Daphnia pulex: one gene and its partners. The protein of the gene in region 5 purifies or fractionates together with the protein of the main gene of each other region. This does not show direct contact. Links are inferred from orthologs where the notes say so. Each region holds a gene or a part of one and is shown on either strand. Other genes may lie near its edges. The genes, in order: uncharacterized protein LOC124190543, chromatin assembly factor 1 p55 subunit, homeobox protein B-H2-like, histone deacetylase 1-like and chromodomain-helicase-DNA-binding protein Mi-2 homolog.

Region 1 (5,146 bases), on a different chromosome or scaffold from region 5:
TTATAAATGTGAGACAAATTTTAATTTTTAGTAATATTTTATTTATTATTTGAAAGGTAAAAATAATTGGACTCACATGGGGTACATTTGAACCACAACTTTTAAAACTTGAACCAGTTGACCTCATCATAAGTTCAGACTGCTTCTATGACCCAACTGTTTTTGAACCAATTCTCATGACTGTATCCTATCTGCTGGAAAAGAATCCATCTGCAAGTTTTGTGTGCTCCTACAAGGAAAGGAGTTCAGATTGGAGTTTTGAACCTTACTTGTCAAAGTGGAAATTATGCTGCAAGACTCTTGAAGTGGCAAGCATTATTTCAAGCTCAGTTGTTGATGTCGCTGAACTCACTCAGGATAATACTATACAACTCTTCGAAATTCATCGTGCTTCCTAGTTGTTCCAGTTCTGCAATATGGAATCAATAATGGATCTGGATTCTGCTTTCAGTGAAGCTTCAGAGACAGTGAAGGAATTTGTGAACATTGATACAACCACCATGCTGCGGCTCTATGGACTATACAAACAAGCAACGCTAGGAACATGTAATATTTCCAAACCAGGAATATTTAACTACACAGCACGTCAGAAATGGGAAGCGTGGAATGCTCTTGGAACCACCAGCCTCAATGATGCCAAATCCCAGTATATCGAACTAGTGGATAGTTTGGCATCGAACCATAAGAAAGGAACGTCAAGTGTTAAAAAAACATCAGCTTTCGGAGTAACAGTCAGCTGTATGGCCAAAATGGATCAAGAGCTGGACGACAGTGACAAGACAATTTTTGATTGGTTGAAAGAGGGAAAAATCGAACACGTTTCATCCATGTTAAGTGTAAATCCATCACTTATAGATCAACGGGACGAAAACGAAATGGCATTGATTCATTGGGCGGCGGATAGAGGCGATACGTCAATGATCAATCTGCTCGCGAAGAAAGGTGCGGACGTGAACGTTACAGACGGTGATGGACAAACCCCCTTGCATTATGCTTTCGCTTGTGGCCACGATGAGTGCATTCGATTTTTGGAACAACTTCACGCAAACCAAAACATCCGAGATCATAATGGTATGCTCCCTTCCGAGCTGTCAGACTTGTAAGCCAATTATACAGTTCAGTTGTTTTCTTATGTTATGTTTCTTTCTACAAATGAGGATGTCTTTATCCGTCAATAAACAATTTTTCCAGTTAAAACATTACAAATCAATGATGGTAGCCCAATTCTGTATGGAGGTACTAAACGCAGTTTATTATTGTTATATTTTTAACAGATGGCGACATGAAAACGTGGTCATGTCGATATGACCATTTAGACATTCCTCGTGAGATGGAGTGGAAAGGAAATAAAAAGAGGTATCGGTGTGAACGGCGAATAACCAGGGTTTGAGTAGGGAAGAAAATATACAGAATAAACTTTCTTAATTGAAGGAGGTGTTGGGAGCGGATGGTTTGGTAAAAGAAACAAATAACAATTAGTCAACAGCGAAAACTAAACGTATTTTAAATTTTCCGGGAAATAAAGAAAGAAAAGTAGAGGGGGGCTGGCAGATTTGCGATATCAAGACATGGCGGGCTGAGAACATGATCTCGAGTATCAACATCTTTTATGTTCGTAATGCACCTAAACATGGCTCAGTTTTTTTTTCCAGACACGACATGGTAAACACTAATCCAAATGTGTAAAAGTAAATAATCCTGTATTGTTTCTGAATTTTGTTTCATAAGAATATTCGCTTCACATTCATACCATCCAATGTTCAATTGGATTGCCTCAAACGAAATTGTAGGGAAGGGAAAAGATGCTAGGGAGCACATTTGAAACGAAAGCTCCCTCCAAAAAAAAAAAATAATTCACTCGGTATCGTTGTCGTCCGTCCTGCTGCGCTTGGACATGGACTCTCTACTATTTCTGCTTAGGTAGCCTTTAGGGGCGGGCACTTTCGTAATCGTCACTTGGGATTTGGGAAGAGTTAGACCGTCTTTGTTGTCTTGTTCGTCATCAGACAAGTCAATGATGTCAACCCGACTCCTTTTCTCGCCCCTGGAGGGCCGGCACACATTCTGATCAGATGAATCGTGACGAGTCGTTTGTGGTATGATGGTGATCTCGTCATTGATTCTCAAGGCCCCAGTTGTGCTGGTATTGGTCGAGCCCGAACTTCCTTTCTTGGTGTCTGCCTTGTCCTTGTCCAGAACTTTTCTAGCTACCACCGAATGAGCTGTATACACATGGTTCTCAAACAGTTTGTACATAGTGAAGGTGGCTGTGCAAACCGTACACTTGTACGAGAGATGAGCAGGTTTCAAACTCAGACCGTGATCCTTCACCACGTGACTGAGCAGTTTCCACTGATGAACCTAATATTTAAAAAAAAAATATTCAATTGAAATTATAAAACAACTTACACCTAGGTTGCAAAGGTCCTATGAAAGGTGTAACTCAGTACCTTTCCGCATATGGGGCAACGACCACCATCTTGTCCTCGGTTGGCCGCTTCCTGCATGGATGATGTAACCAACCCATGGGATCCCAACAAATGTCTCTCAAGGCCTTGGTCTGTAAAAAAACGACACTGGCATTTCTGGCAGTTCAGCGGCGGTCGATTGTGAATCATTTTGGGGTGAATCTTCACTTTATGAATCCACTGCATATGATGACGCAATTGCTCCAAATCCTAATTCAGATGTTCGGTAAATTAGAGAAACCGTAAAAAAAATAAAAAAAAAAAAATATTTCTAACCTTAATGGAACTGTCACATATTTCACAGACAACCGCCCCTTTCTGCCCTGGTGTTGCCGGTTGTCCAGCTTTTGCTGCCAAGGTATTGTTACCAATTGCCGCCATTGCATTCGTGGCCGCAGGAGTGACCGGGCTGACGGATAGAGAGGGTTTGTTTGAAAGTGTCGACGTGCTCGTACGTGGCAGAGGAGTAATGGAGATGCTTGGCTGCTGGTTGGTCTTGGCCTTATTGGTCGTGGGAGTAGTTGAGCTTTGAATTGTCAATCCGCTCGTGTTCACTAAGCCAGGCAGTAAACTAATGGAGCTGGTATTTTTCTTCAACTTATCAATTGCGCTAGCACCTGCCGACTGATTCTTGGACACATTTGACGGTAAGACCGACATTGAAGACCCATGTCCTTGTAACAGTTGAAAGGACTTGGCAATAGCCTGCAAAAAAGAAATAGACGTCTATGAAATTGATGATAATTGGGAAAATTGAAGATAAACCATTACCTGATAAATTTGATTGTTGGGAACACCATACGAGGAAGGATTTAAATAAGAAGACGACTGATTAGAGGCCTGCTGACGATAGTCACGCCCCTTAGGTTGAGGTGTTGACCCTGATGGCGTTCCTGAAACACGTTGAGATGCACCGGATACAACATGCAATTCAGCCGGCAAACGCAAACCAGCAAGAGCTGCCTGTGAAGGGCTGCCTCCCTTGCCTCCTTTGCCTTGAACTGCTGCAGCCATATTGCCCAAGTAAGTGTTTTGACCTAGGAATAAAAAAAAAAAGATTTTTAGACAACCGCGAATAAAAAACACTGATTCGCAGTAGGGAGCAACACTTGTCAAGAGAGTAATGGATCGACAATATATTACCGGTTCCGGTTGACGACAAACCACTGTTATATCCCAGAGAATTCATCAAGGCCGATTTGGGTAGAAGTGGGTGGTAAGGCAGATTTAGTCCTTTGGTCGACGTAAGAGAGTAGCCATGCAACCCTGTTCCCGCATTCATGCCAGGAGTGTACGCTCGCATGTAACGCGTGGGCATCCTCGGTATTTTAGCTGGTGGTTCCCAGTCTAGTGGAGGTTCTAGATTGCGGTCGGCGACGAATCTTTTCTGGCAGCTCATCATATGACGTGTTACTTTGGACTTGACGTTATCTTCAAATGGACAAAGTGGGCACTGGTGCGACGGCAGATCAGGTCCTGTCCGCGTCTTCACACCGTGATCTGTTTCGATGTGCAACGATACCAAATGTGATTCTTTGGCTTCGAACGAACACCAATGGCATCCATATCGTGCCGATGACCCAGATCCAAGGGCTAAAGGAAGGCTCTTGTGGTGAGCCATCATTAATGATGATTCGCTCTTGAAACTGCACTGGTTGCAAGAGCGCCAAGGCAATCGATAAGGATCATTTTTAGCGCGAGTAACATCAAGCCCTATAACAAAATCACATACAGAATATTATATCACATACGATTGAATGGTGTAGTAGGATATTTTACCTTTGGTCAAGGCGTTTACGGACAGGCTGGGGTCAGTTATCTTTGTTCCCTTGTGGACTTTCCTCTTCTGGACTCGGAGGAGATCTCCTTGAACATATTCCTGAACTAGTGACAGTCCAATATCAAGAAAAAAGCGCCCGATTGGCCCTGAAAAATATTCATCTTCTTCCTTCTTCAGCCTTATTGATTTTTCCATTTCCGATTTCATCGACGACTTATCGAGCGGAGTTGCTCCTAACGTAGCTGTTGCACTAGTAGATTTGACGTCATCTTTCTCTTTCTTTTCCGAATCGTTCGAATCTTCTTCGCTCAGAACTACGACGTCTTCTTTCTTTTCAGAAGCGGGATGGGGATCCATTGATTGGACTGTCTTTTTCAAATTCTGAGAAGCCGATTTCTCTATCAGGTACGGGACGACAAACGACGGGGCTTCGACGATGAAGGAGTCATCTGCCAAACCTGTTCAAATAAAAAACACTATAGATACCAAACACATCAAAGATCGACGAAATAAATAAAGCGTATATACCTAATGATTCAAATGGATCTGGAAGACTGGTTGAGTTAGAAATGGAGGAGTTGGTGCTCTTTCGGCTTGCACTCGAAGTAACAGGCGGGGGAATAGGCTTGGGCATTGCTTTTGGGGTGGGAGGAACAGCAGAAACTGTCACAGATGCAGGAACATTGCTGACTGGTGCAGCATTTTTTCCTTTCAAAATGGATTGTGTGTCAACAACAACAAATCCTGAGTTGGAATTGTTCTCTTTAGACCGTGGCACCACGGTCACACTTGTGGCTGAAGAGATGGAAATTTTGGACAGAATCGGAGCTTTGATAAGCTCTGGTGGAGGTCTCGTCACTTTGGTCATTTTGACAGGAGAGACGGATTTGGGTGGGGA
Region 2 (6,171 bases), on a different chromosome or scaffold from region 5:
TTGTTTATCCAACTTTTGGTTGAACCATATTTGTTTCTTCTTTTTTTAACATAACTCTGATGCTTTAACGTGGTTAATATGGTGTATGGGTGTCTTTCGTGCAAAAGCTTATATCGTACCATGCTGGATGAATGATGATGATGAATATATTGGGTCCGATCGAATCTACAATGAATTATTGTTCAAATGAACGGAAGGCCAACAGCTAACTTAAATTGTGGAATATCTCTTTTGAAATGAGAACAGAAGTTGACTTCAATTTTGGACCATTGTTATGATAATATCTCAACCGGCATTTCCATCCATTATTACTCCTCATATTCCTCATACTCCTCATACTACACGTAATGCTCGGCGAAATATATATATATATATATTTCATTTGGTTGAAGCACTACGTTATTAGCCTTTAGTGAATGTTGTGATAGCAGAAAATTTTAATCCAATAAATACGTTATGAAGGAATGGAAAGAAATGACGGTGTTTTCAAATCATTAATTTTTCTTAGACGCAGTAAAAAATAATCCTATTAACGCTGTACAACTTCTATACTGAACTCAATTAAATTTATGGCAAAAAATACACTGTGCAATGAAAGAGAATTTTGAAGTGGTTTACTCGTCTTGCTATCTTCTAGTTCAAATATCGGTTTGATTGTCTGATGACGGAAAATATTACATTGTTTAACGGATGGCCGGAGGAGGCTTTCTTCATGATTTACTGTGAACCATTTCCTAGAGCGCCAATCGCCTTTACATTGTAACAGGTAGATCACTTTAACCTTGACAACAAAGGTGAAGCACCTTCAAATTTCCTTCCATTGTTTTGGCATCTAGCGCTAAACCACTATGAAATTAATTATGCGCAACAGAAAAAGCTTGAGAAAAAGTTAAAATCATATTGGGCATCGGAAAACCATTAAAATTTTGTGGAATTAAGCATTGATATATTTTTGAAAGCAAATATTTTTTTCTAGAAAAAATAACTGTATTCCTATAACAATATAACTGTTTTTATGCCTTACACTGCCTTACATGAAGATTTTTTCCTAGACCTACCCACAGGCATACAAATCTCTCAACACCCATGGCCTACCTAAATATTGTTTTTAATTATTACTAATTAAATTTAATTTTTAAATCAGACTTTTGAAGTAGGCAAATTCTTTTAATTTGACAACAATTTTATTATTTTCAAGATTTTTTTCTTTAAAGACATGACCATGCCATCTATGAACGGCAAAATAAACTATTGAAGTAGTTTCGACTTTTTCCAAAGTGGCACCACTGGAATTGCTTTCGTTTTTGCCGCCATTTAACAAAGCAGCACGCTCAAAAGTCTCTGCTAACCGAATCTATTGCTTGACAGGTTCCAGCCGGTTCATCATTAGTAAAGGACTTGATTGACTAACGATGGCAGATAAAGATGGAGGTATCTGTTGAAATCATTCTTTGTTATTGGATGACAGTGAAATTTAATCCAATCTTTTTTAGAGCCCTTTGATGAAGCAGTGGAAGAACGCGTCATCAACGAGGAATACAAAATTTGGAAGAAAAATACTCCATTTTTGTATGATTTGGTTATGACACATGCTCTGGAATGGCCTTCACTTACAGCTCAATGGCTTCCTGATGTTACAAGGTAAATTACTGAGAACAAAGGTGTTTTATTGTTTCTTTCTAACTGTTGAATGTTTCTTTTCTCCGTTAGGCCTGAAGGCAAAGACTACTCAGTGCATCGTCTCATCCTTGGTACTCACACTAGCGATGAACAAAATCACCTCTTGATTGCATCTGTCCAGCTTCCTAATGAGGATGCTCAGTTTGATGCTTCACATTATGACAATGATAAAGGAGGTAGTCATTTAACTTGATCAAATCTGTTGCACTATTGTTTTAATGCTTCATCTCTATCAGAGTTTGGAGGCTTTGGATCAGTGAGTGGTAAGATTGAAATTGAGATCAAGATCAACCATGAAGGAGAAGTCAACAGGGCTCGCTACATGCCCCAGAATCCTTGTGTGATTGCCACTAAAACACCTTCATCTGACGTCTTGGTCTTTGACTACACAAAACATCCTTCTCGCCCTGATCCTAGTGGAGAGTGCCACCCTGATTTACGGTGAGTCATTTTTTATTCAAATGATTTCTTATGACCTAAACTTGTTACTCACAACTACATTATCTTTTTTTAGTCTGAGAGGACACCAGAAGGAAGGTTACGGTTTGTCTTGGAATCCAAACCTTAATGGTCACTTGCTGTCAGCATCTGATGACCACACCATTTGCTTGTGGGATATTAACGCATCGCCGAGAGAGAATCGTGTTCTCGACGCCAAAACCGTATTCACTGGCCACACAGCAGTTGTAGAAGATGTCGCTTGGCACTTGCTTCACGAGTCCTTGTTTGGTTCCGTTGCCGATGATCAGAAGCTTATGATTTGGGATACTCGCAGCAATAACACCAGCCGGCCCTCCCATACCGTGGATGCTCATACGGCTGAAGTGAACTGTCTGTCATTCAATCCTTACTCCGAATTTATTTTAGCTACCGGATCTGCAGACAAAGTATTCATTTAATATTAAAATCTACTATTTATTCTACTCAACTAAACATGTCTCCAAATTGTATTTCTAGACTGTAGCTCTTTGGGATTTGAGAAATCTTAAACTCAAATTACATTCGTTCGAGTCGCACAAGGATGAAATCTTTCAAGTCCAATGGTCACCGCATAATGAGACTATTTTGGCTTCGTCTGGCACCGACCGACGCTTGCATGTCTGGGACTTGTCCAAAATTGGAGAAGAACAATCCACCGAAGATGCCGAAGATGGCCCTCCAGAATTGTTGGTAAGTTGAAATATTGATGCGATTGTTTGATTCGGATGCTGTTTAATTATTGAATTCTCAACAGTTCATTCACGGTGGTCATACGGCCAAGATCTCTGATTTCTCCTGGAACCCGAATGAGCCCTGGGTCATCTGCTCCGTCTCTGAGGATAACATCATGCAAGTTTGGCAAATGGCTGAAAATATTTACAACGACGAGGAGCCTGAGACGCCAGCCTCAGAACTGGAAACCCCTACTAATTAATGCATTTCCAGTGTATCGCCCTATACCCTATTTCTCATCGTTTGATTCTTTACTGTCCCACGTACACGCTCATCTTTTTTTTAACATTCAAATCTTCGAATTTGGCCCTTACATCGCTTGGAGATCCAAGTTTGTGTATTCAATAAATAGCTTTCCGCGATTTGGTTCAATTTGAATTATTCTAATTACTGCCGTTAATTAGGTTACTAGTCCATTTGCAGTCCATTAAGTGGGTTGTGATGAAATTTCAATAAATGGTTGAAAGACGCTCTTATTCAGAACAAAATTCGACTCTTGATCGCCTGACCCTATGACGCAATCATTAGATTTCGAAAGCTAAATAACAGTAAATTGCCTAATTCCCGACTGTTCTAATTATTCGTGATTTTGTATTTGTACATGTTCGACTGTTTTCTTTGAACTCGGATTTCTAATCTGTGATGTTTGGATTTAGAAGCCAACAGCATATCCGTCTTGACCGTGAATCAACATTGTTCGGCTCACACTGGCCCGCCAGCAAGCAGCAGGTAAACATCTATCGTCTTCAGCTGGGTGTGGGCATCATGCGGCAGTAAAAAAGTTCCTCTCCTACCCGTGAATAAGTGTAGAGGACCGATGTTATTTATTATTCAACCTTGAAAACGCAATTAAAGCGCTTGAGGTTGAGCATGACGAAGACTCCAGCAGCATCCTCAACACCGTGTTCGGCCAAGGTCCGTCTGGATGGTTGGACCCCGTATTGGGATTGAGAAAACGCCAACATTTGTTATGTTTATGGATCGCGAAATGTGAAAATCGATTCCACATTTTCATAATGTTTTTGTTTGTTTGTTTTTTTCGCTTTTTTGTCAGTTGAAATATGCCTTGCAAAAACGTGACGCATCGGTTTTTCAAGGGCAGTTACCCAAACGCCCAAAACAAAGGCGCGCAATATTTTTTTCCAATATCCGCAAACGACTGAAATAAAATTCATTGAAAATACCGGCATCGTTAATCTCTTCTGATTTTCAATTTTAAAAAATCGATTTTGTATTTTTTTGTTTCAATGAAACCTCATCATAAAATTATTTTTACGCATTGAAAAGCCACGGGTTGCTTAACTGTTAATAAAGGTATTTACCGAATTTTCCAGACAATACATTGTATAATTAATTTCGGTTTTAGTCTCTAACACGGAAATTGCGTTTCAAGTCGGTGCTGGGCCTATCGGTGCTGGTTGTCAAGTCACTTTCCTGACTGAATAGATCCATTAATCACCTAATCGAAAGAGCGCTGGCCATCGTTGAGATATGCATTTTCGGTTGGAGGAAGCCAACATCAAAGAGATGGATGATGCTTATTTTCAATCGGGGTATACAAGTAAAATAACTCACGACAGAGCTGTTTACCCGATCTTTGGCCTTGCGGGACCTTGATCGAGCGCGTTGACGCGTGGTGTTACGTACGGCTCGCGGTGCTGTACTGGGACTTGGTCTCTTAACCCCAGGGTTTAATTTCCACTTTCAAGGTTGAATCATAATAAACACGAATTTCGTTTTTTCCCTCCCCAAAAAAGCTGCATGTGGCATTCATGGATGCCCATTTCCAGCCGAATCAACCTTTCGCGCTCAGCGGGGAGGCAGCAATAACAGCTCAGCTCGACCTCCGAAGCGGGCGTGACGCGGCCACAAAGAACGAGACGGATTGCAGCAGCACGTTGAAAAATCTGTGAAGCAAGTGGCTGGACGATCGTGCCTTTCGATAGCATTCGAGAAGCAGGAATATTTTTCTTCTTCTTCTTCAGCATGCTGGAATTGATTATATCCAGCGCTATAAGAAACGAGAAGGGTAGGGTCTCGAAGAGTTGACCTGCGTGAAACAATTACGCCCCACTGAGGAGAGTCTACCACCACCACACTCGTATCTTCTCTATCCTCCCCTCCAAAAAACAAGCAGCGGGGTTCTTTGTTGGCACATCGGTTACTAACCCAGTGCTAGGAGCGTTCTTTTTTGTTATCACGTTATACAAGGTGCGCAAGGCGTGAATTTCTTGTCTTAGTGTATAAAAGATACGCGCAGCTCGTCGTTGTGGATTAGACCGCCGGTGTTTGTCATCCGAAGAACACACGCCAGGACAAAAACATCAAACATCACAATGGCAAAGAACCTTAGTGCGCTGATGCTGCTGGCTGCTGTACTGACAGTCGAAATACCGTCCTTCGTTTTGGGCCAGATTGTAATTCCCGGTGATTGTCCCAAATACCCAACGCAGCCCAGCTTTAATCCAGCTCAGGTATAATATTAATTTTGTAATTTCTACCGTGTGTTGTGGTCGTTACGCAATTTTTACGTGCGCTAGTTTATTACTACTCGGTGGTACGAGATCAGCCGGTATCCGTCAACTTTCGAGGACGACACCAGGTGCTCGCTGATTGACATCAGACCGTCCAAACAGGGAGCTCTCAAGATGAGTTTCAAAGGAATTAGCAATATGTAAGTTTTGAGAATCGACTGAGACTGGCATCCCAAAATGATGTTCAACCGAAATATCTTATTTAACATTTTTGACAGAGACAACGCTGTTACGATTGCAGCGGGCAATGCTTACTTTGACTACGGAGAATTGAGCAAATTTCTAGTTCAGATGCCTATCGTCAGTTGGAACGGTAAGACAAAGAAATTCTGAAATTATTAATAAAGCATTTCTAGATTAATCAATTGTAAACAAAATTTCTCGTGCAGCAACCGTGGACATTCGATTCTGGATTATCGCTACTGACTACACTAATTATGCTCTAGCCTGGAGTTGCGATCCCCTTTGCACTGGATATCGGCGAGGTAATCCCCTCATTTGATAATAATTAATTCAATGGCTAATTTTCTGAATCTATAATTCAATGCAGAGCAATTGTGGCTTTTGGGTAAGCAGAAAACGCTATCAGACACCGTCATGAATACAGTCACCTCCAGGTTCTTTACCAACGGGCCTTTTAAGGCGGGCAATCTGGTTCCGGTTGTTCAGAAAGACTGTCCATCCATCGTATAGAGTGAAGCAAAACGCGTCAAAATTTACGGAATGAGCAATTAACGATCAAAGA
Region 3 (6,577 bases), on a different chromosome or scaffold from region 5:
TCTCTTTTGCTTTTTTAATTGCAGAAAAACAAGTCTAGCGTGATAAAAACAAAACAAGCAAAAACCATGGAAGCAGAAGAAGATTCACCGGTTGTCGACCTTTCCGTCAGGTAAATTTTTTTATTATTATGAAATGCAAATGGACAAAATGGCCATAACTGCTGATTATCATAGTAGGAAACCGGCAGAGGCGATGAATCAACACCGTGAACAACAGCCGTTCAAGTTTGATTTGGCTGACCTCCCCCAGGACTTGTCCGTCCATCGCAGCCATTTCAGCGCTCTGGCTGGTATCAATCCAACACCTGCTCACGGAGGGGCTGGATTCAGTGGCAACGGTAACGGCGTTGGCCGCAGCGCTTTGAGTCCTCTACCTGTTCAGGCTCATATGCAATCCCCTTTCATTCCACTTCACCATCGATCTGGAGGAGTCACACCGACTAGCAAAAATCCCTGGCCAAAAGATGAAATTCAGGTTAGACAAATCTCAATTGGTCTCCCGTCAAAACAGCGTCAAGACAACACGACAACGTATGCTCATTTCTCTTTATTTCTTTTATCTTCTAGGTAACGCGAATCGAAAAGCCTAAAGAGCGTGACGCCAATAAGGAAATGGATCGGCCGATCAAAGATGAAATTGAAGTGGTTCACCTGAAGGATGGATCGCGTTCATCGAACCGGCGGTCGTTCCGCCCACTCTCGATACGCCCGGATAACAACCAAGTTGTCTACACGATTAAAAACTCTGAAGAAGGACGCGTCAACGGCTACAGCAATGGTTACGGCAGTGCCAGCGATATGGAAATCAACGATGAACTACCCGATGATGAAGCGGATGATCTAAGTGATGATGCCCAGGGTGAAAATCTGGAAGATTTACCCATGCCTCCCTCTCCGGTTAGAAAGGTAAACATTTCTTTCCTTTTTTTTCTAATGTTGGATCATTCATCTTTCATGTCGGTTTGTTATTTGCAGGAAATGACCGAGACGGAACGGTTAGAGAATCAACTACTTATACAAAGGCTGCAAGCCGAGTTGAGGACAGAAGAGATGCGATTGGTACTGCTCAAAAAGATTCGACAAACTCAGCTTTTAGCTGCCCAACAACAACAGCAACAACAACAACAGCAGCAGCAGCAACAGCTCCATCAGCAGCAGCAACAACAGCAACAACAACAACAGACAAATTTGACAGTTGCCTCAAACTCTCACGACGTCAAAACAGGTTTTTTCGCACTCAATAATCATTTTGCCTGCTGGATCTGTAACGTTGTTTTTTAAAAGGACCACCAGCTACCAGTACGAAGCAGCCTCATCCTGCCCACTTATCGATTTCGTCACCTCAGCAGCAGCAGCAGCAACAACAGCAGCAGCAGCAGCAGCTTCATCACCACCATGGGGGACAGCACGTGAAATCGAGCAGTAAAAACAACAACAACCACATGAGCTCGTCGCCGTCTTCCCGAAATAGTTCAAACTCGCAAAATTCATCACGCCATTCGACCAATGTTGCCAACATGGCCATGAATTTACTTCATCAACAACAGCAACAGGGACATCGCAATTCCAATAGTAACGTTTTATCGCCGTTAATGCAGCATCAGCAACTTCAGCAACACCAGCAACAATTGCTGAGAGGATCGGCTGGTAAATCATTCAGGATAATTCAATTGAATTTACCAATTCTTAATGTGCATTCTTCAATAGGACTTTTGGCGCACAGCAGAGCACCTATTACGACACCCCCGAATGTAGTGATGGGACTAGCTATCGGCTCTGGTGCTCCATCGCCTTCGTCTCCAAGCATCCAGGGGCATGACAAACGCGACCACATGCGAACAAGCACCTCGTCGCCCAATGTTGCCCAGTCTGGCTCGTCCAGCACGCTCGGTCTCCATCATCACACAAGTGCTTCTAGCTCCCGGCAAGTTGAAGATCCTCAGACAGCTGCCCAAAGACAAGCAGCCGCCAAATTAGCTTTAAGGAAGCAATTGGAGAAAACTTTACTTCAGGTATTTCATTTCTTGGCCATGCCTTAATTAAGTCAAAATTAAATTCACGTTGTATTGACAGATCCCACCACCTAAACCTCCTCCACCTGAAATGCATTTCATCCCCAACCCGAACAATACCGAATTCATCTACTTGTTGGGCTTGGAGGCCGTCGTCGATCGACTAACTCAGGGTGCAGACCATCCAACTCCGCCCATCCCGTTCATCTGCTCCCAGTGCGGCACAGACTTTTCGTCGCTGTGGAAATGGGACAAAGCCGCAACACGTAAGGCTAATTGATTGTTTGTCATACGACCGACCGAGTGATGGCTAATGGATTTCTTGTTTAATAGTAGAGAAACCAGCAGTGATGTGTGATCAGTGTGTGACCAACAACGTCAAAAAGGCCCTGAAAGCGGAGCACACGAACCGACTGAAGACTGCTTTCGTGCGAGCTTTGCAGCAGGAGCAGGAAATCGAACAACGTCTGGCGCAAGGTGGCAACATCAGTCCGCCTATTCCTCCACATCATCCGATGCCAGCTCCGTCCCACGCCAGCGCCAGCGTCCATTCCAAAGCGTATGACTCGCTACCGGCCTCTACTCAAATTATCCCCTTCTCCACAAAGTCCATCAACAGTGGAACGCCAGCTCCCGCTCACAGCCCATTAGTCGGATCACACTCGGCCGTGAGCTTGAGCATAGCCGTTGGCAAGGATCGAATGGAGCGAGAGCGCGACAGAGAGCGCGAGAGGGAGCGTGAAAGGGAACGAGAAATTCGTGAACATCGTGAAAGGGAACGCGAGAGAGAAAGGGATCGTGAAAGGGAAAGAGAACGGGAGCGTGAACGAAACGAGAACCGCGAACGTGAAAAGGAGAGACAGGCGAACGCAGCGGCGGCCGCTGCTGCCGCCGCCGCCGCATCGGCTAGCTTCGATTTCTCGAAAATGCCCGACCCGACCAAGCTCTTTGGTCACCAAATGTCTGCAATGCAAAATGCTCTGCAAGCCCAGCTGCTGAGAGGCATGGGATTGCCTTCGGGATCGGCGTCCATGTCGAGTCACGCTCACAACCCTCTCATGAATCCCTTCTCTTCACTGCTGTACCCTTATCAGCTGGCCATGGCCGCTTCGGCTGCTCAAGCAGCAGCTCAGGGCAGAGGCAATAGCGGCGGTGGTGGATCCGGAGGAGCTGGAGGCAGCGGAAACAGCAGTCGAGACAATAGCGCCGCTGCCTTTACCGCCGCCAGTTTGGCCGAACTGCAACGGCAATATCTGCTGGACATGCTCCCACACCTGCCCAACATGGCCGCTGCCGCCGCCAGCAGTGCCGGCTCCCGCTCGTCACAGGGCCAAAGCCAGGGTCATGGCGATGGTCGTCAAAATTGGAAATCTTGAGCAAGTAGACATCCCCCTCAAAATGTGTCTTTGTGTTGTCAACTCCGCTCTGATGGGCATTTGCATCCGCCGGCAGCAGCTGACTTGCCTGAGCCAAGACGTTCTTTTTTTTTCTTTATTATTAATAATTATTTTCAATATTTCTTGCGGTCTCGTTATGAATATTCACCTCTCCCCATTTCTCTGTTGACTTTCGATTTAATAAGCGAACTGGTTCCATGCGTATGTCAAATCACTAACGATTAACTAAAAACAAAAAGGGAGGCTGTTCGAGATCTCACGATCGTCTTTGCTTCATTCAGTTTAGTGAACCAGTAAGAAATTTTGTCTCGATTTTCCATCGTGGTTCATCACACTCCAGGCAGGGTACGACTGTCGTTACGTGCGCCCTGATTTGCCTTATGAACTCAAGCTAAAAAGACACCCAACAACCACGACAAATCCATATTTGATATAGGACAAATGCAGCGATGTTATCTTTTGTTTCTTATTATTAGAGAGGTAGCAAAGCGTAGAACTGCAGTGACACAGAAGGGACTCATCAGCACATATTCTCTGTGATGGGCCGGATGCTGGAACGCTCAAATGTTGCATGTGGAATATTATGACATATAACCCTCCCCCCTCCTCCTGAAAGGCAAATTTGGCCATGTACTGCTTTTCATCCTCTATACTGTTGTTTAGATGCACTGACTCGTGATTTTTTCAAAACTTCATCTGGCGAGTGCACCTTCTCTTGTTGCAGATCTGATCATCAGCACAACCCTACCCTCCTGACATGAATTTTCCCCCACCCCGTTTTCCTATAATTTCCATGTGTCTTTACTTCCCTCTTTGTTTCTCGTGATCTATTAAACTTACGTCAAGACAACGGACATGACTGTCTCATTTGGCATGGTGATGAAAATGCGGGATTGCAGGCTGACATTCTGGTATCCTCGAGTGTATGTGTGTTTGTATCTGTCTTGAGAGAAGTGAACAAGAAACGTGTTTCCCAATCGTTTTACTTATCTTGAATCAAGTCTTTATATAATTAATCGGATACCTATACATAGCTAGTTATCAGTATACAAAGTAATCCTTCAAGTGGGTAGTGTGATGAAGTATAAATCTGCGAGATATAAACTTTCTATTAGCTTTAGTTTAATTGCGTACTCAAATTTATGAATTATTTGGTTCGTTTTATCACTTCTTTTTCTTCGAGTTTCCGTAGACTTCAACCAATGTTATAAGGTGCCTAATATATAATAAACAAAGAACATTTTGTTTAATTTGAAATGATTTTAAATGTAAATAAAACTTGATTAACGAAAGATTACAATTTTTGAAAATTCTTTTTTATTTAATTTTTTTCAAAATTGTGAAATTTCTTTCGCCATCTAGCGTTCGTACTCAACGACGTTTCACATAACAGAACGTATCGAGTACTCAAAGTTGACTGAAAGTTGATTTGATCGAGTAAACGAAAACATCCGCTGCGGTCTTTTGTCGTTAAATCTTCTGGACAATCAACCTGAACTTATCGGTCCGCAGTTACCAAATTATATTAAAAAACTGAAGATGGTATACGTTTGTTATTTGTTATCAATATCACATTTTTTTGGAATGCTCATAAATTTTGCTTTATCTTGAAACGTTCGTTTTTATTGTTGCCTATTGTCTTTACATGGGACGTTTTCATACGTGATATGATGAAATTTTTCAAAATATAGAACCATATTAATTGCAACAAATATTTCCTATAGATGTTGAGAGTTCAATCTCCAGAAGGTACTCGGCGTGTGGATGTTGACAATGTCACCGTAACCAGGGAACTGTTTGAAAAGGTATAGAAGAATTGACCCCATAATTAATACAATGCAAAACCCACAAATAATTTTGTAATTTTTTTCTTAGGTCCTCAATACCTTTGGAAATATAGGTTATTCTTTTGCCTTGTACTGCAAACGTGATAAATCTCAAGAAATTGTTTCATCGAATGCAAAGACTATGGCAAGTTATGGGCTTCAGCATGGTGATATGATATACTTGTCACCTATTGCTGGTGCAGTTCAGCACGGTGAACAGGATGCTTCTGTGCTTAAAGTAAAAAATGGAGTGAGCACTGCTTCATCGACAACCTTCCTTCCATCAACTAGTAGCATGCATGGATCCAAAATACCTATTCGATCTAATGTAGAGGAAGATCAAGTTGATGTAATTCTACAGAAAATGGATGGAACTGTCAAGAGAAAACGTGATCCCAAAAAGTGAGTTTTTACAGTGCACGTATTGGACTAATATTGTAATCAGTTGTGTTCTAATTTTATTTGAAAGCTTCCTTAGAATAAGCAATAGTCTAATATAATGTAATCTAAATTATGCAGAGACATTGTGGCTAATATGTAAGGATTATAGTAAAAAGCGGTGTATTATAAAATAACCGATATTCATCCGACATGAAAAATAACAGCATTTATTTTTAATGATAGTTGTCTCCATGGAGAAAATTCGTCTTGCATTCATTGTCTACCATTGGAACCATACGACGCTTCGTACCTAAAGGAGCTGAACGTCAAACATATGTCGTTTCACGCTTACTTACGGAAACTGTCTAGTGGGTTAGACGGAGGAAAATATGCTAATTTGGATAACATAAGTTGTCGGATTAAACCTGGTTGCACTGGTCATCCGCCATGGCCCAAAGGTGTGTGCTCTAAATGCCAACCGAAAGCCATTACTCTGAACAGTCAAGTAATATTCCATTTGCCGCTCCAACATGTAAACCATATTAATCTTTGTTTCAAATCCTACAGGCTTACAGACACGTTGACAACGTTGTCTTTGAAAATCCAAACCTAGTCGAACAATTTCTTCATTACTGGCGTGTAACCGGGCGACAGCGAATCGGATTCCTCTATGGAAGGTAAAAATGAAATTCGAAGTTGATCAATTTATTTCTCCAAAATCAAACTAAAATGTTCAATTCTACCAGATTTGACATTCATTTGGATGTGCCACTTGGAATCAAAGGAATAGTCGCAGCAATTTATGAGCCTCCACAGGTACGTCAAGTATTCACATCCGAAACATGTAAAGAATGTAATCTGATGGAATGGATTAATTTTTAGGAATCGACACGTGATTCTGTTCGCTTGCTGCTTCCGGACAACCGGCAATCTGTTGTCGACCGTGTGGCTGCCAAGCTTG
Region 4 (6,388 bases), on a different chromosome or scaffold from region 5:
CGAACAAAGACTAGAGGGGAACCCTCCCCTTGGATCGGTTTTGGATTCGAAGGGGTGGGGAAACGACTTGAAATGACCGCTGAAATGTAGGAATTGATTCAAAAGCGGATTGACTTTGAATCAATACAAATGTCTTTCATGCAACAATAAAATAAAGAAACGCGTAGTCCCATGAGGCCCGTATGATGCTGGGGCGACGGGTTTTTTGGGGGAGCAGAAGCATGACAGAAGTAGGTGCGTGGTTGGTCTCAGCAGGCCCGTGGTTAGGGTATAGGGGGACAACACTTACCAGGACGCAGCCAAACAGACGAATTTCCCGTAGGGATTCTGTAGGGGAGACCGGACCCATGTTGGACACTGTTCCAAGTTGGACAGTGTCTTAAAATATAGTAAAAATTGCTTTAAAATTCTAGATTTCACATTGTTCTAGATGTGATGATGCTAGATCCTGTGTAGTTTAATTAATTTCCCGAGAGTAGAACGGGAGTTATAGGAGGAAGAAAAAACACGATAAATTATTGCAAAATTTTTCGCCCGAATTATTGATCTTGCTCCAAGTTTGTTTGAGTAAAAAAATTTTTAAACAAATGTTTTTAAATTATTTATTATTGGAAGAACTATCATACAAGGTTTTTAAAATAATTTAAAGACATTAATTTCCACCTTTTCGAACCCCGTCTAACTTGGTACAGGCCCCTGTCTAATTTCACCCCGGCTCGGTAAAAAACACCGAAAAATGGAAATCAATGTAAATTCTTAAATTTTAAAGTTACACATTTTAAAAAAATCAAGGGGGTGGAGGCAAGGCTAAAAAATGACCTTAGCCAAAAAAAAATTCTTTTGCCTAAGGGGATCGGGAGATATGCGGGAAAAACCGCGACTGTCCAAGAGGGGTCCGGTCTCCCCTACAGGTTTTTTGGCATACGGGAGGATTAGTTCCAATTTCGCCAATAGATGGCTTCGATTACTTTTTCGACAGTAGATGGTGGGTCGGTCGAATTTCACCAATTTTAACTGCGCGCGTTGAAACTGGCATCTAGGCTCTAGCGACTAAAAGTAAACTGTCATCTGCCTCTTTCTCTTCTTCTTCTAGATTTTTTTATATCTTCCCGTCCATCGATGACTGGAAAGAGATTCAGCTCTTTTCAGACCGACCAGGAAAGAATAACATCTGTAATAGCCTACATCAGCCAAAAATTTTTATTTTTATTTTTTGTCCGCTTGGCGCAACCTAAGACTGGTGGCTTTTTCAAATCTTATTTAGAAAAGAAACCAAAACGAAGATTTCGACATTTTTCCCCCTGCCCCTTCTCGGAAGACGAATTCGACTGCGCTGCTCCTTCCGGCGAGCCCATCTCCTTATCTCTGAAAACGTCTAACGGAGTTGATAGATCGTTAGATCTCCAGCTTAATGGCTCTGGTTTCTAGTTCCATACTCCTTAGTCCCTAACCTAATCCCTAATTTCTAAATTTATTATTTACTAGAATATGTTTATTTCAAATACCTTCGTATTTGGAAATTGATAATATAAGATTTAAAAAATATAACTGCGTAATTTTTTCATTTTGAAAATCACTTGTTTCGTGTGGGTTTTCCAAAAAAATCAAATTCCAATATATTTATTAAACATTATGTTTCCCAGAAGGGTTCCGACTTCTGAAAACTGATTATTACATATTCAATCCTATCAACAACATTCATGGAAAAATTGCTTCTTGCAATTAGTTTGACGTGATACTTTACCTTGACTCCTCCACCAGGGCAACAGATAATTATCCATTACTCTGCCTCCACTTATTATCATCATTTTTATAGTTTTGTAAGGACTCGACTCGAATCGAAGGAGATTCGAGATTTTTTGAGAGCTGGCAAATATGTTTCCTCAAATTCGCGTTTGAGGCTTTGGGCTATCGTAGTTAGTTTGTAGATTTGGCAACACTGTAAATGTAAGCATTCGCATTCGACGCAGCGAAAGCAATTGATGCTGGTGTCTTTTCTTTTCAGTGTAACTGTCGAAAAGTAAAAATAATTTTAATAAAGAATTGTGATTTTCAATTTCGAAAATGACTACTCAACCAAGTCACAGCAGAAAGCGAGTTTGCTACTATTATGACAGTAAGTTAGAAAAATAATTGTATCATGTATAATTAACGTTTCATGTCGCGTGTTTGACTGCCGGCGTCCTTTTTTAAATTAATTATTTCAGTGGTCATATTCTATTTATTTTATAAATTCCCAAAGATACTTGATTTTTGCTAAATTTATATACCTATCTATTGTGACATTTTGATGTACAAAATTTATGTGGAAGTAACAATATTTGGCAAGTGGGACGTCATTTATGCACAGTAGTATCACAAAGAATTATAGATGTTTGAAGACTGAAGAGCACATAGTATTAAAAAAGAAAGATATGTGGCTATATTATCATTTAAATTGGGTTTTATTTTTGAATTGCTTCAAAATTTTATTAAGATTTTCATGTCAAATTTGTCGATGAGGTTGTCGGGGGTATAATTGACGTCCTACTTGGTGGGTGGGTTGGCATTTTTATGGTGACTTTTCATTTTAACTCTTAAATTTGTAATTCCTTTTTTTATTAACCTAGGTGACATCGGGAATTTTTATTATGGACAGGTAATAATATTGAACACATTTATGTTAATGAAACTGTAATTAATAATAAATTTTTGAAATTGAAGGGACATCCCATGAAACCTCATCGCATACGCATGACCCACAACTTGCTCTTGAATTATGGGCTATACCGTAAAATGGAAATCTATGTAAAAATTCAAGAAGCTAGATGATAATTGCCACAGTTTAATTGAATTTATTTTTTGTTAGCGACCACACAAAGCCACAGCTGAAGAAATGACCAAGTTCCACAGTGATGATTACATTCGATTTCTTCGAAGCATCAGACCTGACAATATGACAGAATACAATAAACAGATGCAGAGATGTAAGATGTGTTTACAATTTGATCAATTTGAAATTGTGAATTAATTTATTTGTTTGTTTTTTAGTTAATGTGGGTGAAGACTGTCCTGTTTTTGATGGGCTCTACGAATTTTGTCAATTATCTGCTGGAGGTTCTGTAGCTGGAGCTGTGAAGCTCAACAAGCAAGCAACTGAGATAGCTGTGAACTGGGCTGGGGGATTACATCATGCCAAAAAGTCTGAGGCATCAGGATTCTGCTATGTAAATGAATAACTTAATAACAGTTTTTGGATATAACTTACTAACTAATGTTCATCTCTTTCCATATTTTAGGTAAATGACATAGTGTTGGCAATTTTAGAGCTTCTGAAATACCACCAACGTGTTTTGTATATTGACATTGATATTCATCATGGTGATGGAGTGGAAGAAGCCTTTTACACTACTGATCGTGTAATGACTGTTTCATTTCACAAATATGGAGAATATTTTCCTGGAACTGGAGATCTCAGAGTAAGAAGTTTTGAACTAAATTTTGAATAAGAAACTGTTATTTATCCTTTTGTTGTAGGACATTGGTGCAGGCAAAGGAAAATATTATGCCGTAAATTTCCCCCTGAGAGATGGAATAGATGATGAAAGCTATGAGCAAATCTTCGTACCTATCATGTCAAAAGTGATGGAAACTTATCAGCCGAGTGCAGTGGTTCTCCAATGCGGTGCCGATAGTTTGTCTGGTGATCGTTTGGGATGCTTTAATCTTACTTTGAAAGGTATGTGTTCGGAACTATTGTTTTTAGTATACATGTTATTATCAAGTTGTCTTTAGGTCACGCAAAATGTGTTGATTTTGTTAAGAAACATAATCTGCCTTTACTGCTGCTTGGAGGTGGTGGTTACACTATTCGAAATGTTGCCCGTTGTTGGACTTACGAGACCGCAGTGGCACTGGGAAATGACATTGCAAATGAACTCCCTTACAACGATTATTTTGAATATTTTGGTCCCGATTTTAAATTGCACATTAGTCCGTCTAACATGGCAAATCAAAATACTCCGGAATATTTAGATAAAATCAAGTAAGTTTTTAGTGTTTTATTCAAAGAATTATATGTTGAGTGACATGTTTTTCTTAGAACTCGTCTTTTCGAAAACCTCCGCATGTTACCTCATGCTCCTGGAGTCCAAATGCAAGGTACTTGCATTAAATTTAATTCTTCAATTGTATTTATTATTTCATTGCATTGCGTTTAACTGATCCAAAATTATTCTGACAGCAATTCCCGAGGATGCCATTAACGAAGATTCCGACGAAGAAGATAAATCTAATCCCGATGAACGTATATCTATACGAGCATCAGATAAAAGGATTGCACCAGACAATGAATACAGTGATTCCGAAGATGAAGGGGATTCCCGCCGAGATCAAAGGTCTGAATTCATTAATAAATCGTGCAATTTTTCATTTTTTCAATCATTATTCTCTACTATATAGATCATTTAAAGGAGCAAATCGCAAAAGACCAAGAACCGAAACAGCTGAGGGTGCTGCAGAGGTCAAAAAGGAAGAAAAGGAGGACAAAGAAGTGAATGGCGAGAATAAGGAAGGTACTTCAAAAGAGACTGTAAAGGATTCGGACAAGAAAAATGAGACAACACTGAAGTCTAGTGGTGAATCTTCTAGTGAAGGTAGTGCTTTGTCCATGGCGAATGAAATAAAAGGTTAGTGTTCACGTAATCGTGGTTATCTCAGATTTCTTACCAATTATATGTATTTTCAGAACCCGAAGAAGATAAATCTACATCGCATGAATTAAGCTCCCCTGTTCCGGTTTGCGCCGATAGCAGTAAAGGAGAAAAAGTTTGAAAATACCAATTAGGGTTTTATTTCATTTTCGCTAATTTTACACTGATGGTGATTCTTCGAGATTCATTCACATCCAATTTTCTACGTGTATCTTAATTAGAATGTAAACTCCGGCTCCTATCACCAACTGCATACCCTCAATCGGGTTCTCAGTCTTCAATACATTTTTACTAAGTTTTTCATTTTAGTTTGGTCTTTTTTCTACATCCTAAGATACGCACTTCACTTATGTTGAGTGCATACTTTAAAACTGGAATACTGATTCAACAACATGTAGCGTAACAGAAGCTTTAATAGGCAAGAAGCGTTTATTTTTAAGAATGATTTTGTAGGGAGAATCAGCGATCAGTAAGCCCAACCTAGTTGGTGGAACGTTGGAATACCGTAGGAAAAGTTTGAGGTTTTACTAGGATTAAGGTTGAAGTTAATAAATATTAAATACTTGAATTGGGATAGTGCATATTTTAATTTCAAAACTATGATAAATTTTACTATTCTGGTGTTAGGTTACATAGGTTAGATTACATATGTTAGGTTACAGTACTAGTCACTAGTATTGTTATCTAGTTATCTTATTTCTTAAATCATTATGTTTTTATAGGCCTCAATAATATAAAAAAATAATTCTAAAGGTTTCATCGATATGGATAACCGATAAGTTAAGGCAACTGGTGGTACCTCTAGTGCTTCGTTATTGTTTCAGTCACGGCTCCCAGTTATTAATTTGCAAATTATATTGTGATAATTTTTAAGTTCGTCGGTTTCGTAAAAAGTGGTTTTTAAAGTGGTGATTAAAAGTCCAACTGAACGGAAAGTAATGTATGTGAACGTGTTATATGAATTGCTTTCGTGTTTGTTGCGTTTAAACCGCGTGGTTTCCTGAGTTTTGATTTCCTCTTCTAGGTCAAGTTCGTTCATCCGATTTCTCCAGTACTTAATCCAATCTGGCATGAAGTCATTTTACAAAGATTCTTTCGATTGAGTACCTTGAGATCAATGTCTTTTCCAAAAAGATTTCCAATCAGCGGCATAAAGAGGGTTAGCCTCTGACCGTTGCTCCTTGAACTGCCGCACACAATCCAGCAGTCTCTCTTCCGGTAATTCCGGACACTATTTAGTTCGTAGCTGTGGTATAGGTTTCCAGCGCATCGAGCATCCCCAAGTGTTTTTGGATCTTCTCGGTGAAACGGGAGAAAGAAATCCGAAGTTGAATTTCAGATTTACTTCTGTTTTAGTTATATCAGAATATAATTTGGCATTTGTTCGGCAATTTTGCAATCGGCGAGTGCTGGTCTCAACGGAACTGCACTAAATAAGGCATTCCAATTTGTATCTGAACACGATGATTGGTAAAATAAACGGCAATACTTAACATGACAATCATTATTACCTTGAAGCGTATCTAAATCCTGATTTTCAGTTGGAATATTGTGAAACTCGTGGAATTCATGCAGCTGGATGTGTCTTACTCGTTCATTTCTTTTTTATTTCTTCCGTCACCCTTACTCCCTATACTTGGATACTTGTCAGCTTGAACACCATGTTCCCGCTTTTAAGCTCCTGTTGAACTCATCGA
Region 5 (6,448 bases):
TGAAGCGATCGATGGCATCCTGACGCAAAGTACCGGTAATTCCACCATCAATGCGCTCATATTTGTACTGCTCTCCCTCTAGAAAGTCTTCTAAAATGTCCAACATTTTTGTCATCTGTGAGAAAATGAGGACACGATGCCCCTGTTCTTTCAATACTCGAAGCATTTTTGAGAGCAAGACAAGCTTTCCTGAGGCTTTCACCAAAGCGGTGGTCTCGTACATGCCATTTTGTAAACAAGGTGCTTCTTGAGATGCAACTGGGAAAAGGTATGGATGGTTGCAACACTTCTTCAAGTCCATCATAATGTTGAGCAACGAGACTTGTTGACCGCCAGATCGGGAATTGAGGGCTTCAAAGTTACGTGTCAGAACATACTTGTAGTACTTCTTCTGCATAGGCGACAATTCAACTCGAACGATGAATTCGGATTTCGTTGGCATGTTCTTCAAGACGTCGGCTTTAAGACGACGCAACATGTGCGGGCCGAGCATATCGTGCAGGCGTTTCACTTGCTCTTCCTTTGCTAGATCAGCAAACTCGTTTGTGAAGGCCAACAGATCGTTAAATTTATCTGGGCACAGAAAATTGAGCAAGTGAAACAACTCCTCTAAATTGTTTTGCAACGGCGTTCCAGTCAGAAGAAGTTTGTAGCGAAGATTATAGCTGTTGAGGATGCGGAAAAATTTGGACTGATTGTTTTTCAAGCGATGAGCTTCGTCGACGACTAAAACAGCCCATTCGATTGAGTTCAAGAGAGCAGCGTCGATCGATACCAATTCGTAGCTGGTCAAAAGAACATGGAACTTGACGGAATTCGTCCGAATTTTGCAAGCTTTGTTGCCTCCCCGGACGGCACCTTCTTCAAACGAAAGTTCGTGCTCGCGAATGACAACTCGTGAGTCTTTGTCTCCAACGTAAGTTACGACGTAAAAGTCGGGGGCCCATGTTTCAAATTCTCGTTCCCAATTGATGATGGTCGACAGAGGTACTGCTACCAAAAAAGGTCCACGACAGTGTCCTTCCTTGTACAAAGAATAAAGAAACGTGATGGTCTGAATAGTTTTTCCCAGACCCATTTCATCGGCAAGAATCGTATCGGTGCCTTGGCCCCACGAGTAGCGCAACCAGTTCAATCCTTCCATCTGGTAAGGGTGCAATGCCATTCCTGATGCATCAATATATTCAGGTTGGCGTTCCCATTTCCGGCTTAAGTTGCTAATTGGCTTCTCAGGTGGAGGATTATAACGGCGTGGTGTTTCACGTTCTTCCTCAGCGGCTACCTCCTTGGATTTGCCTTTCTTGTGAGATTTCCCTTTACTTTTTTTCTTCGCCGGAGTATCCACTCCACAGGCAACTCGCAGGTCAAAGTACTCTTCGATTCCTCGTTTAAGGCCAGGGATTTCGACTTCGGTACCTTCCTCTTCCCAGGAAGCCATATCGTAGTTTAATTCTCTCCATTTAACAAGATAAAGCGTACGATTGTCACGAAGCGTACGGTGATTAATAACGCGATGGACGACCAACCATTCCGGTCGGATTCCGTAACGATAAAATCGGTTATCCAAGTCCATTTCTTCGAAACCTTCAATTCTCTTCTTTTGCCATTTTCGAGATGAGTTGACCACTTCTTTCTCTCCTTCAGGCTTCTCTTTCTCTTTTTCCTTCTCTTTCCCTTTCCTTCCTTTCTGAGCTGCTGCTGCTTCTTCTTCAGCTTCAAGAGCTTCGTCTAGGTCCACTTCTTCGCAGTCCAATTTCGGTGGTTCTTCCATGTCAACTTTTCTGATGTAGTAACGATACATGGCTCCATGAAACACCTCCAACTGAAGCTCGGCAATCCACGAACAGTGCCAGTAAGATTTTTCATGCCATTTGACGAAAAATTCGCGTAGACGAGGTGGGATCTTGCGAGTTTTAGCGTCAGGTGCTTCTTCTTTTTCTTTTACCGGTTCCTCCTTGGTTTCAACCCAACGCCAGGTAAGAATCTTGCTCACCTTGTATGGCAAAGTCTTTGCGGAGCAACGAGGACACTTCCAATCACCATCAGGAATTTCCGACAATGGTGGATTGAGGCAAAATGTGTGATAAGCAGAAGTGCAGGAGTCACAACACAGTAGCTCACCACCATCTTTACAAATGCGACAGAACTCGCTGTGTTCGTCATCATCCGCTGCGTTCCTGCCAGCTTTTTCAGTGATAGTAGCAGCCGTAATACCTAGACAAATTCAAATGTTAATAATCAACTTTGGCAATATATTTTTTCAGCTATTAGTTGTTTTACCTTCTCCTTCGCAGTGTGGGCATGACCACCTGCCTTCTGGAGCTTCTTCCAATTCGGGGTCGAAACATACTAAATGGTAAGCTCTCGGGCAAGTGTCACACAAGATGATTTCTCCTCCTTGTTGGCAGACTTCGCAATAATCTTGATGATCTGTTTCGTAGCCATCACCCTCTTCGGATGGAAATTTGGCCGTTGTCCTAGTCTTTTTCTTCTTCTTGTTTTTGTCGCCGATTTTCGTTTTAGCTTTCTTACGTGGAACTGCTGGAGCTGCAACTTTAGAATGGAGTAATGAAGACAACTATTGAAGAATAAAATAAAATATGAATCTTACCTTTAGATTCTTCCACAACCTTAGAAGCCTCTTCAGCTTCTTTCAACATTTGTTCGAATTCTGCGTCGGAGTCTTTTTCATCTGCACTCACATCATCTGAGCTAGTTCTCTTGCGCTTGCCCAGCTTAATTTTGATGGTGGGAACTTTGCCTTTTTTGCCAGCACTTGTGTTTCCACCTTTAGTCGGCTTTCTACTACGCTTTTTACGTCCTTTCTCAGCGAATTCATCGTCATCATCTTCATCATCATCAGGTAGTTCGGGCTCTTCTCGGCCCGACGCTGCACTGCGAGAGCTACGCAATGGCCGACTCGAGCTAGCTTCAACAGCTTCTTCTTCTGCAGGTGTATCATTGCCTTCAGGAATAGTAGCTGAAAATTCTCTCCATTTTGCTGCAACAAGCATCATTAGCTTTGACATGGGGACCTAAGCAACAAGAAGAGATTTATAAATATACTGAAAAACAATGAGAAACAAAAACATACTTTTGGGTTTTCTTTTTGCAGCAATGGCCGAACATGTTGCTGGAAAAGTTTGTAATTGTTAAGATTTTGAAACTCGGCATTTTCATAATCAATCTCCACATCAGTCAGACCAAAAGTTGAACAGACTTCCTCAACACTCGGCATCCCAGAATCTGCAGTTGCTGCACTTTGAGTAGGTGCTGCTTTTGAAGCTTTAGTTTTCTTTTTGGAAACTGGCTCATCCACAGGCTGTTCTTCTTCTGCTTCACTGGGTTCAGCACTTTCGACTTTCTTCTTCTTTTTCTTCTTTTTGCTCTTCTTATCTTCATTGCGGGACTTGTGCTTTTTGGATTTTTTCTTCTTTTTTCCACCACCAGTGTCTGGGTCAAAGTCATCATCATCATCTTTTTCGAGGCCATCAGAATCCATCATGGACTGATCTTCGTCTTCATAACCACCTCCTTTGATAATCTCGTCTTCTTCGCCTTCTCCACCATCACTGTCTTCACCTGCAAAATGACGTGAAGCCATATTCACAACCGGCTCTTTCAAGTCTTAACACTCGGTTTCAATCGCTTGATCGATTCGGCAAGTCAAAACACAACGAAACTTCACAATAGTCAAATCAAAATTTCTCTCTTAATACTTATGAAAAACATATAAAACGACTTCCATCGAATCGTACAACGAACTCCCCTAAGCGGCGTTTCGCATGTGAAGACGAAGAATGGCTTACAAAGGCCAGTGCACCCCAAAACGAAGCCCTCCCTCCCTCCTCTAATTTTTGTTCTTTTTATATTTTTTTACAAACGATCGATTTCAAAATCTGACAAAAAGCTAAACATTTAAATTTATGAAATATGGTTTTTACCTGCTTTATGAGCTGATTCTGGATCGAAAGAGGCCATGGAGTGGTATATTTCAATAAAATTTCTTCAGATGATCAAGTTAAAAAAATAAAGTGGAAAAAACTCGAGCGGTGTACCAGAATCACAAAACAAGCAGCAGCACTCTCCGCACCGTTTGGGGGCAAATCTACTACTAGCGCCACGATGCGCTGAGCGGTAACGTTCTAAACTTGAAGGCACCTCCAGTTCCGGTGGGGAGATTGGGGTGGGACTGGAGAGAATATCGTTGCTTAGCAACCTTTTCAACTAATAATAATTTTTTCTTCATTTTCTTTTAACGCATCAAGGGATTTTGCATGTCTCGTTGTAGTTGCGGGTAACGTCAAAACGCTTCGAATGTGACGACAGATTTTCGCAAAAAAGAGCAGAAATGGCTGGACCAGGTGCGCTCAAAAACACTGTGAGGTACGTTAATCGGTTCCGACGACTCTATAAATCAGATTCTTGCATAAATTTACCGCATTGCATCTGAGCCGTATATTTGCATTTCCTCATTCTCTATCGTCCAAATTGTCTGTAAAGGGAACGAGAATTTCAAACCGAAACCTCGAAATCGGGTCGATCGATCAAAAGGAATCACGTCACCCCTGCTGAAAGAGAAGGTTCGTATACTCTATCGTGAGATGATGAGATACCTTATTCCCCCCTCTCTTCGTCCAAAGACTTCCATCTCTGGCTACGTTTTGACAAGCCCTATATGCAAAGGTTGGAATGGAAGGTTCTGGAATTTCGATCGTGGGTTGTTGATAGAGGACGAAGACGAACGAGAAAAGAAAAAGATTAGATAGAAACATTTTTGTTTTTGTCTTTAAATCGCTTTAAATAAAATAACGCTTTTACTTCTTTGATGAGATTTTATAGGATACGTCGGTCGGAGACCGAGAGCCAATCGGTGTTCATGCCAACGGCTTCCGCCCGTCCCAAAAAGAAATGATCCTGTACCAGCTCCCTATCCTCCTTCCCACGACAACTACATCGATTATAACGCTAAACATGTGGATCCAATTCACTGTCACGAGCCTAAGCTACAGATAGTTGATTCCAAAGATGGGCACGTTATGGATCTGGAGAAATCAGGACTTGTTCCACACTACACTACAAAATCGGTTTTAAGTGAAATAAAATTAGGAATCCGAAAACAATTAATCTGATATTCCCCTTACCTTGAGTAGACTTTCGGACGAGTACCAAACTATCTCAAATTCGGCCAAACCCAGTCGCAGCACGGAGATTCGTCAAAGGATGTCCAATCACGATCGGAAACGACGAAAGAGCGCCCTAAAGCGGCTACGCGAGTCGTCAACAAGGACATTGAGGTCAGACAGATGAATTCGGTTCGTGATTTCTCACTGCAATTTCTAACGCGTCCAATTGACGCTACGTACTATTATTACACAGAAGCTTCAGCAGCGGTGGATCGAGCTCGAGAAGCGTTTAGGATTGATCAGTTTCTCCCGACCGGATAAACGCGAGGCAATCGAGGACGAGTTGCGGAGCATTGAATTGAATCTTCGCATGGCTGTCTCCGGTTAACCGTAGTTCCGAAGTTTATATTGATACAGCTTGAGTTGCTGGCACAACACGAGAAATATCTTCCTCTTCTAGTAGCACTTGACCACCTGTACATTCTGTTAATGGCGTGTTATTAGCTAAGAATCAAAGGAGTAAACACAAAATCTGATTGAATAAAAGAAATGGCATAGAATCTTTTATTAGACCAAATTTGGGGTTTCTTTAAAAAAAACTTTTTCGCCGGATTGAAAAATGACATTGATTTGCGGGAAAAAACTGTCAACACTTTTTTTCAGACTGAAGAGGGAAAAGAAAGTTAGTTTAGGGTAGCAAAAACAATAGAACGGGGGGGGGGGGTCAAGACAACGTAGAATTCGTGTGACATGAAGCTTTGGACAGAGAATTTGGAAGAGACAGGTGCGCACGGCACGAGGGGGGAAAAACAGATGAAATAACGTAAACAATTTTGACAAAACGAATTGAAAGCAAAAACTCTACGAGTCGTTCACTCAACATGTCTAGAAAAATGGCAGACTGCACTAAAAACAAGAAAGACAGAAAAAACGATCGAACAAAGAGAAGAAGAAAGAGGGAACACAACTGAGATGGACTGGTCCGTGAGACGCGACCCGTAGTGCTTTTTCTTGTTTACACATAAGAACAAAAAAATGTTCTTGACATTTCGATTCACGTTAACCACGACATGGACACTTTTTTTTTTTTTACTATTTTCTGAATTGGTAGACAATTTTTTCTTTAAAAAAGTTTGAAGGAGCATTGATCAAAACGGAGGAAGTACGGACCTGCAAGCGGATTTTGTAAACAAAGATCCGCGTAGACTGATGACACGAGATCTGTCGGAACAGTGTTTTTCTTGTTTGCTTAAAAAAGAAGAAGAAACACAATGAAAAGTGGATTGTGGTATGGTCAAAGGCGTGAGAGGGCACGAATCGCG

Evidence for each region.
Region 1: the proteins of chromodomain-helicase-DNA-binding protein Mi-2 homolog (region 5) and uncharacterized protein LOC124190543 purify together in Drosophila melanogaster (affinity purification with western blotting; 6 studies listed by BioGRID, with this or other methods). This does not show direct contact. The link is inferred for Daphnia pulex from reciprocal best matches to the Drosophila melanogaster genes Mi-2 and MEP-1.
Region 2: the proteins of chromodomain-helicase-DNA-binding protein Mi-2 homolog (region 5) and chromatin assembly factor 1 p55 subunit purify together in Drosophila melanogaster (affinity purification with western blotting; 4 studies listed by BioGRID, with this or other methods). This does not show direct contact. The link is inferred for Daphnia pulex from reciprocal best matches to the Drosophila melanogaster genes Mi-2 and Caf1-55.
Region 3: the proteins of chromodomain-helicase-DNA-binding protein Mi-2 homolog (region 5) and homeobox protein B-H2-like purify together in Drosophila melanogaster (affinity purification with western blotting; 5 studies listed by BioGRID, with this or other methods). This does not show direct contact. The link is inferred for Daphnia pulex from reciprocal best matches to the Drosophila melanogaster genes Mi-2 and simj.
Region 4: the proteins of chromodomain-helicase-DNA-binding protein Mi-2 homolog (region 5) and histone deacetylase 1-like purify together in Drosophila melanogaster (affinity purification with western blotting; 5 studies listed by BioGRID, with this or other methods). This does not show direct contact. The link is inferred for Daphnia pulex from reciprocal best matches to the Drosophila melanogaster genes Mi-2 and HDAC1.

The regions. Positions count from the first base shown.
Region 1 is NC_060019.1:8,036,733-8,041,878, reverse strand, and holds the end of uncharacterized protein LOC124190543, read right to left. Parts: coding exon 4,777-5,146; intron 4,707-4,776; coding exon 4,248-4,706; intron 4,182-4,247; coding exon 3,612-4,181; intron 3,506-3,611; coding exon 3,240-3,505; intron 3,174-3,239; coding exon 2,745-3,173; intron 2,679-2,744; coding exon 2,451-2,678; intron 2,362-2,450; coding exon 1,855-2,361; 3' UTR 1,232-1,854; downstream 1-1,231. Other genes in the region: probable methyltransferase-like protein 23, read left to right, coding at 57-398; acyl-CoA-binding domain-containing protein 6-like, read left to right, coding at 429-1,103.
Region 2 is NC_060023.1:6,453,765-6,459,935, reverse strand, and holds chromatin assembly factor 1 p55 subunit, read left to right. Parts: upstream 1-1,274; 5' UTR 1,275-1,412; coding exon 1,413-1,431; intron 1,432-1,493; coding exon 1,494-1,641; intron 1,642-1,710; coding exon 1,711-1,856; intron 1,857-1,916; coding exon 1,917-2,121; intron 2,122-2,194; coding exon 2,195-2,567; intron 2,568-2,637; coding exon 2,638-2,850; intron 2,851-2,914; coding exon 2,915-3,094; 3' UTR 3,095-3,254; downstream 3,255-6,171. Other genes in the region: apolipoprotein D-like, read left to right, coding at 5,229-5,366, 5,433-5,566, 5,645-5,739, 5,816-5,911, 5,977-6,119. UniProt on the Drosophila melanogaster protein: Core histone-binding subunit that may target chromatin assembly factors, chromatin remodeling factors and histone deacetylases to their histone substrates in a manner that is regulated by nucleosomal DNA.
Region 3 is NC_060023.1:4,654,322-4,660,898, forward strand, and holds the end of homeobox protein B-H2-like, read left to right. Parts: intron 1-24; 5' UTR 25-66; coding exon 67-110; intron 111-174; coding exon 175-475; intron 476-567; coding exon 568-906; intron 907-975; coding exon 976-1,225; intron 1,226-1,284; coding exon 1,285-1,647; intron 1,648-1,707; coding exon 1,708-2,012; intron 2,013-2,073; coding exon 2,074-2,278; intron 2,279-2,345; coding exon 2,346-3,388; 3' UTR 3,389-4,388; downstream 4,389-6,577. Other genes in the region: nuclear protein localization protein 4 homolog, read left to right, coding at 4,949-4,951, 5,134-5,214, 5,285-5,637, 5,860-6,121, 6,184-6,293, 6,363-6,432, 6,499-6,577.
Region 4 is NC_060024.1:1,149,084-1,155,471, forward strand, and holds histone deacetylase 1-like, read left to right. Parts: upstream 1-1,924; 5' UTR 1,925-2,064; coding exon 2,065-2,116; intron 2,117-2,609; coding exon 2,610-2,638; intron 2,639-2,703; coding exon 2,704-2,787; intron 2,788-2,848; coding exon 2,849-2,966; intron 2,967-3,030; coding exon 3,031-3,206; intron 3,207-3,278; coding exon 3,279-3,458; intron 3,459-3,516; coding exon 3,517-3,718; intron 3,719-3,774; coding exon 3,775-4,024; intron 4,025-4,081; coding exon 4,082-4,140; intron 4,141-4,222; coding exon 4,223-4,376; intron 4,377-4,440; coding exon 4,441-4,667; intron 4,668-4,726; coding exon 4,727-4,812; 3' UTR 4,813-4,994; downstream 4,995-6,388. UniProt on the Drosophila melanogaster protein: Catalyzes the deacetylation of lysine residues on the N-terminal part of the core histones (H2A, H2B, H3 and H4).
Region 5 is NC_060018.1:5,938,092-5,944,539, reverse strand, and holds the start of chromodomain-helicase-DNA-binding protein Mi-2 homolog, read right to left. Parts: upstream 4,085-6,448; 5' UTR 3,982-4,084; coding exon 3,945-3,981; intron 3,822-3,944; exon of another isoform or gene 3,605-3,821; coding exon of another isoform or gene 3,583-3,604; coding exon 3,095-3,582; intron 3,036-3,094; coding exon 2,612-3,035; intron 2,554-2,611; coding exon 2,281-2,553; intron 2,215-2,280; coding exon 1-2,214. Other genes in the region: enkurin-like, read left to right, coding at 4,352-4,386, 4,504-4,583, 4,834-5,087, 5,154-5,315, 5,380-5,514. UniProt on the Drosophila melanogaster protein: ATP-dependent chromatin-remodeling factor which acts in nucleosome-remodeling by catalyzing ATP-dependent nucleosome mobilization. Involved in regulating transcription. Plays a vital role in development.